Linked DNA regions of Mus musculus: region 1 is reported to be linked to region 2. Evidence: microRNA targets listed by miRTarBase, many of them from high-throughput screens and not tested one by one. Region 2 holds a microRNA gene; the other region holds the end of a gene's coding sequence.

What was found. The annotated mature microRNA mmu-miR-187-3p reads UCGUGUCUUGUGUUGCAGCCGG and lies in region 2 at 1,366-1,387, shown strand. An mRNA with a match to its seed (bases 2 to 7 or 8) in the 3' UTR can be bound and repressed. Matches are read on the target gene's strand: a 7mer-m8 pairs with bases 2 to 8, a 7mer-A1 pairs with bases 2 to 7 and ends in A, and an 8mer does both.
Region 1: miRTarBase lists Rnaseh2a as a target of mmu-miR-187-3p. Seed matches in the 3' UTR shown: 7mer-m8 at 2,627-2,633.

Annotation. Positions count from the first base shown.
Region 1 is chr8:84,954,885-84,958,286 of GRCm38, forward strand. Rnaseh2a (ribonuclease H2, large subunit) reads right to left here. Exons shown (of 8, transcript NM_027187.4): 7 at 3,082-3,205; 8 at 1,726-2,980. The coding sequence ends at 2,839. It overlaps Rtbdn (retbindin), which reads left to right. Exons shown (of 7, transcript NM_001357326.1): 6 at 123-219; 7 at 1,122-1,722. The coding sequence ends at 1,343. Among named protein-coding and RNA genes, the nearest start is that of Rnaseh2a, 9.5 kb to the right of the region's middle.
Region 2 is chr18:24,427,095-24,430,496 of GRCm38, reverse strand. Mir187 (microRNA 187) reads left to right here and starts at 1,327; the gene lies at 1,327-1,387. It overlaps Gm32547 (a long non-coding RNA gene), which reads left to right. Exons shown (of 3, transcript XR_877231.2): 2 at 1-208; 3 at 1,873-3,402.

The sequences.
Region 1 (3,402 bases), not on the chromosome of region 2:
AACTCTGCAAACTCTGGGTGTCTGAGGGATTGGGGCCTGAGAAGAGGCCTTGGTCTGAGGGAGGGACATTAGAAGCCCATTGTCTCCAAAGCCTTAAACCCGTCTTCCCTTCTCATGGCCAGGTTCACCACCTGCCAAGCAGATTTTATTTGTGGCCCGACTTGGCTGCAGTCCTCTGGAGAGAGAGGCTGTGAGCCCAGCTGCCGCACCTATGGGCAGGTGAGTGAGGAACAGAGGGTTGGAGGCGGAAATGGGCTTTGTAATATGGTCTGGATTACTGACATGCAATACAGTCTGGGTTCTTGATATAATTTAATTTTAATTAATCAGTTACTTTTTTTATATAGGGACTCTCCATGTAGCTCTTGCTATCCTGAAACTTAGCATGTTCACCTGGCTGACCTTGAACCCTTTTTGTTTGTTTGTTTTTCAAGACAGGGTTTTTCTGTGTAGCCCTGGCTGTCCTGGAACTCACTCTGTAGGCCAGGCTGGCCTCGAACTCAGAAATCCACTTGCCTCTGCCTCCCAAGTGCTAGGATGAAAGGCGTGTGCCACCACTTCCCGGTGACTTTGAATTCTTAACAATCGTCTAGCACTGTCTCCCCAGTGCTGAGATTAATCCTTTTAAAGGGGTGGGCTAATCTTTATTTTTTAAGGATTTATTCTTATTCTGTGTTTTGCCTGCCTGTATGTGAACCACCTATGTGCCTGTAAGAGGTCAGGAGGTTATAGACTCCCCTACAACTAAAATTAGGTTTGTGAATTACCATGTGGGTGCTGGGAATCTAGCCTAGGTCCTCTGCAGCAGCTGCTGGTGCTTTTACCGGCTGAACCATTTCTCTTCCTAAGTACCCAACACTATCTTAATGTACCTAGTTCATAGGTTCTTGCTGTACTCTTCCACATTCTCAGCCTTGGTGTGGGTAGTCCGCTGATTCTTGACTCTCCTATCAACTCTTTGCGATCAGTTCTAGGCTCCTCCCCTGGCTCTGACAGACTGACTGGCCCCTCAAAGGAATGCCCATACCCTCCCACCGCTCAGGCCATACCTAGTCCAGAAGACCCAGCCCAGAGACTCAGGTTCCACCTCCTCGAACCCTGACCACCACCCTTTCTCCTAGACCTTCGCCAACGCCACAGATCTGTGTCACTCTGTTTTGGGTCATGTCCTGCGGGTAGCAGCTCCAGGTTCCAGTCACTGCCTCAACGTCTCCATCTCCTCTCCAGGAGCGCGCCGCCGCCCTCGTGCCTGGATTTCAAATGTTGTAGGCAGTGGTAGTGGCAGCGGCAGCGGCGACAGCCCCGAGCCAATGTTTGGCTTTCAATACGTGTCCCTTCCCTAGGCCAGGAGCCACCCAGAGTCATCTCCCTCTCTTCCTCTCTCCTTCCTTCCTAAACCAGGCCCTCCCACCTGTTTTCCTAGAAATGATCTAACCCTCACTTATTTTGCTTCCCCAAAATAAAGTTGCCAGCCTAGACCATGCCATACGACATGGCTGCTGCTTGGGAAAACACCTGGGGAGAACTTGGCAACAATGATAGTCTTAGGGAAGAATGGAGACTAGCAACGCGGTACACAGGCCGACCCTGATGATCTACATTCTATTCCCAGAACTCACATGGTAGCAAAAGAAACAACTCCAACAAGATGGCCTCTGTCCTCCAGGTTTGCCCTGACACTTGTGCCCCCACCCCCAAAATAAATAAATAGATAACATAGTTTGTGGCTTTGATTTATTGATCAGGGCCTCATCATGTAGCCTTGACTGATGTGGAACTATGTAGACCAGAATGGCCTCTAACTCAGAGATCTACCTACCTGTCCTCCAAATGCTGGGATTAAAGGTATGCAATACCACAACAGCGCATGCACGCAAACACACACACACACACACACACACACACACACACACACACACACAGAAGGAAGAGGAGAGGAGGCAGAGGACTGGAAAGATGGCTCCCTGGTTGACAGCAACAATGACTGTTCTTGCAGAGGACCTGATTCTCAAGACCCACAAGGTGGCTCAAAAACACCTCCAACTCCAGTTGCAGGGGATCTGGTGCCCTCTTCTGGCTTCTTTGAGAACTGCATGGATGTGTTGCACAAATATACATACAACTCCTTTAATTCCAAGTCTGCAGCTGTGTCTCAGGCCTGTCTGGTCTACGTAGCAAGTTCCAGGACAGTCAAGACTACTTAGGAACCCTGTCTCAAAACAAGACAAAGCAAAGAGGGAGCACCAAAGAAAAATATGCGGGATGGAGAAAGCCAGTGGTCAAAAGCACATAGTTCAGATCAGCACCAACAGAGCAGGCCGTAATTTCTCTAAGTCCAGCTCCAGAGAAATCTGAAGCCTACGACCTCCAAGGGCCCTTGCATTTACACGTGCATACTCACATGTGTGTATACCCACACAAAGACAAAAATAGTTTTACAATTAAAAAAAATAAAAAGGCTATGATAGTGCATGTCTTTAACCTCAGCACTTGGGAGGCAGAGGCAGGTGAGTGCCACAATGTGCCCAAGACCAACCTGGTCTACACAGTTCCAGCATTGAGCTATCCAGTGATACCACATGGTGGCTCACAACCATCTATAATGGGATCTGATGCCCTCTTCTGCCGTGTCTGAAGACAGCTACAGTGTACTTACATACATAAATCATTCTTTAAAAAAAAAGCAAACGTCACCAATCTAGAAATGCCTATTTTGTTTGATGAATCAGCTGCTGGCCACAGGCACTGCTACCAGACCTTAGCCACAAAGCACTCGGTCCACTTCTTGAACAGCTTTTATTCCTGGGTTAGAAGGGCAGGTGGTGCACACGTGGGCTCCTAGAGGCTGCTGGCTGCCTCCAGGCCTCGCTCCTGGAAGTATCTGTGGGGGGCCTGAGGGCGGCAGGTCTGCGGGCCCTGGCTGAAGTAGGAGGTGATTTTTCCCGGTCTTTCAGGATCCTCCTCAGCTTCTGAGTCCTCCCTGTGGGAGAGAGGGATGACTGGCCACTTCCCATCGGGCTGAGTGAACGCATGGCCTCCCTTCCCCTGGTCTGTTCCCTCAGCCACTCTCAGGACACAAACCAAATGACATCTTCTGCCTCCTTCTCCAGGATGGCCTGGGCTGTGCTCCAACTGAACCGTACAAACTGGGGAAAGCCAAACACAGGGTCCACATGTTTCCTCAGCCAGGCTTTGGTCTTGGGATCTAGGGAGACAGAGGTAATGGTGACAACATCAGAGGGGTCAGGTGACAGGCACATGCCACATGTGTCCTTAGCTGCTTGATTTTCTTCTTTTTTGTTGAGATGGGAGTTTCACTATGTAGACCAGGCTGGCCATCCTCTGCCTCGAGCTGGGATGAAGGGTCTGTGTCTTTGGCTTCTTGAGTACCAAGACACCCTC
Region 2 (3,402 bases):
CTGCTTGGCAAGTCTTGAGATTCTTCCTTCATTGGTAGAAAAACGTGTGACACTTAAGTTCTGCACTGAAGCTTGACCTCTAATCTGTCCCCAGAGTCTCCTGCCTTCTGCTGGAACCAAAAGCCATGTCGCGTTACTGAAGACACAAGCCAGTGAGAGCTGGACCCAGTGGTGTGGTTTGGTCCCAGCTACCCAAGAGGCTGATTGTGTGAGCCTTTGGGGGGGGGTGGGGCGGGTAGAGACTGGCTAGGAAACACTGAAGATTGACAGAGGGAGGGGAAAGGAGGACAGATGAGGGAGAAAGAGAGACAGAGAAAAAGGAGGGGGAGGGGGAGCAGGAAGGAAAGGAAGAGGGAAGAGAAGAGGGAGGGAGGGAGGGAGGGAGGGAGGGAGGGAGGGAGAGGGAGGGAGGGAGAGGGAGGGAGGGAGGGGGAATGAAGGAGGGAGGGAGGGAATGAGGGAGGGAGGGAGGGAATGAGGGAATGAGGGAGGGAGGGAGGGAATGAGGGAATGAGGGAGGGAGGGAGGGAGGGAGGGAGGGAGGGAGGGAGGGAGGGAGGGGAATACTGCTGTTCACTCCTCAGTCCTGAAGCCCATGGGCTTTTCTGCAAAGAGTTTACCCGACAGTGAGTCTGGAGAAAAAATATCAACATGTCACTTTGGAGGAACTGACATTAGGACATTGTCTTGATTTTAGACCAACTTCATTTGAATTTTATAAGAAAGCACTGAATGACTCACCAAAAAGAGTCCACACAAAAATGTTATACATGAGCTTTTGAATAAAAATAAGCCATAAACAAACAATAAATTCTCCATAGGCCTGGTGCAAGTGGGTAGCAATAATGTTGTGTTTTCTGCCATTCTCCCAGTCAAGATATTTATAATCCAGGGCAATTCATTGTATCAGCCTGGCATTTATAAAATTCTCATCGTGGTGTTAGAGTGAGAGCCACTTCCTAGGAGGTGTCATTGTACTAAACTATAATTAGTGGCTTATACACAGCCATAATTTGCTGTTTAGAGGAGGAAGGACATGGTCATGGGCGTGCACATAGCCTCTGTCTCTCAACATCAGCACCAGGCTTGTGGCCTAGGCGGGGTTTCTTCACCATGCAAGGTCAGCCTCATTTCCACCACTGGGTTTTCCCCTAGGGGGCAGCACAGTGCCAGTCCCAGGACCCACTAACCATGCTACTCTCTGTTCTATAGCTTCCTCACTGGGTACACAGCAGATGGGACTCCCCAAGCAGAAGCCAGTAGCCCACCCAGAGGAGGAGCCATGCTGGGCAGGCTCCCTGGGCTCACAGGATACAATGCGGGTCCTCAGGCTACAACACAGGACCCGGGCGCTGCTCTGACCCCTCGTGTCTTGTGTTGCAGCCGGAGGGACGCAGGTCTGCAGCAGAGCCTGCCTGGTGGCCCCTGAGGGATTTGACACACGGCAAGGCACTTTGGAAAGGCTAGGGCAGAAGGGGAGTGGGTTGTATAGCAGATCTTGAACCTAAGACTCCTTCATCCATTCAGTCAGGCATGTTGAACCTGGGCCCTGAGGCTGGCTGCGTGTGCTGAGCACAGTTAGGAGTGCAGCACAAGACAAAAGCCATAAACGTGAAATAAGATAAGCTGGAGGAAGGGGAAGGCGTTAGCCTGGGGTGGGGGGTGGGGGCTAAATTCTCTGTAGTATTTAGCCTTGAATGTTGTGGGTGGCAACATAGTGTAACAGTGTTGCAATTTTGAAAGATTGGACAGGACATGGAGGCTGGGGCAGTCCTGAGAGCGCAGGATAAGTGATGCTTGGCTTCCTACTTGGGGCCTGAGGGTCACTTTTCTGCAGTTCCCCATCCAAAGGCTCTCATTTATTTCCTTCAGTTATGACCAGATTCTCTCCAGCACCTAGGACTGCCTGCTGTGAATCTCAATGTCTGCCCTGTATCCTGCGCAGAAAGCATCAAATGCTGCACTTTCAATGAACCTTACACTATCTATAGGGCCCCCCTTTTCCAAGGAATGTATTAAATACATAAATACATTCAGTTCAGTATTTCTTCCTTCTCTTGCGTGCCTTGGAGGGAAACTGAGTAACATTGGAGGCTGTGATTTAGTCTGAACCAATAGGAAAGCCAGGAATTTGAAAGGGTTGAGAGTCTAGAGCTGCTCTGCCTCAGGATAGCAAACTCCCAAGCTAAGGCGGCCATGGTGCATGGTATCCATAAACTAGACACTGTGTTAGTGATGTCCTGCTTAGTAAAGACTAACGAGAAATTCAAATCAGGTCAGGAGAAATGTGGCTCACACCAGTTAGACGATCCAGAGGAAGGAAGGAAACAGATGCTGCATATAAACCCCTGTGCAGGTAAGGTATTCTGTAAAATGCTCTATGACTGTGTTGAGGGACATTGTCAGGAAAATGGGTGACATACAGTGGAGTAATCAGGTACGTAAACACATTAAGGACAATATAAGCAATATTACTACCAGAAAGAGAAGTCTTTGAATTTTTTCTTTTATTAGATTTATTCATTTTTTTGTGTTTTTTCTACATGTAGTGTGTGTATAACATGCAGGCTTGGTGTCTATAGAGGTCAGAACAAGGCATTGGATACCCTGAACTAGAGTTATGGATGGTTATGAACCACCTTTGGTGCTGGGAATCGAACCCAGGTCCTCTGCAAGAACAAAAATGCACCTAATGGCTGAGCCATCTCTTCAACCCTGAGAAGTCTTACAAGATGGAAAGAGACTGTTTCATAACTAAAAGAGGACAAACACCCCAGAGTCAATGGTACTGTAGAATCAAAGGTCACACGATCAGTGTAGATGGACACACACACACATACACACACACACACACATACACACACACACACATACATACACACACACATACACACACATACACACATACATACACACACACACACGGGGGGGGGGGGGCATGTGCATGCATAACTCTTCCTTAACTCTCATCCACAGAGAAGACTATGCTATCCCAAGAAGACAGAGCACACCTCATACCCAGATCTTTGTTTGCAAAGACTACGTTACCCGAACAGTGTCCAGAGCTCCTTAAAGAAGTGGCTGATTCTGGGTCTGGGATAAGACATACAAGATAAGCCTGGGTCATCTGATACCATAACGAAAGAAATGTCAGATGAGAGAGCTGGCAAGATGGCTCCACAGGCAAAGAGCTTGCCTGACAGGAGAGAATGACTCCAGAGTTCTCCTCTGACCCCCACGTGTGCATCTAACCCCACCCCACACATACATCTCACACACTAATAACAACTCTTTAAAAAAGTGATACTCATCAAAAAGGACATAGAAACCAGCTGAAGAGGCTACCATGACCATATTTGGGACTATTTGATCAATAAAATATACATGTGTACTGTGGCAGGT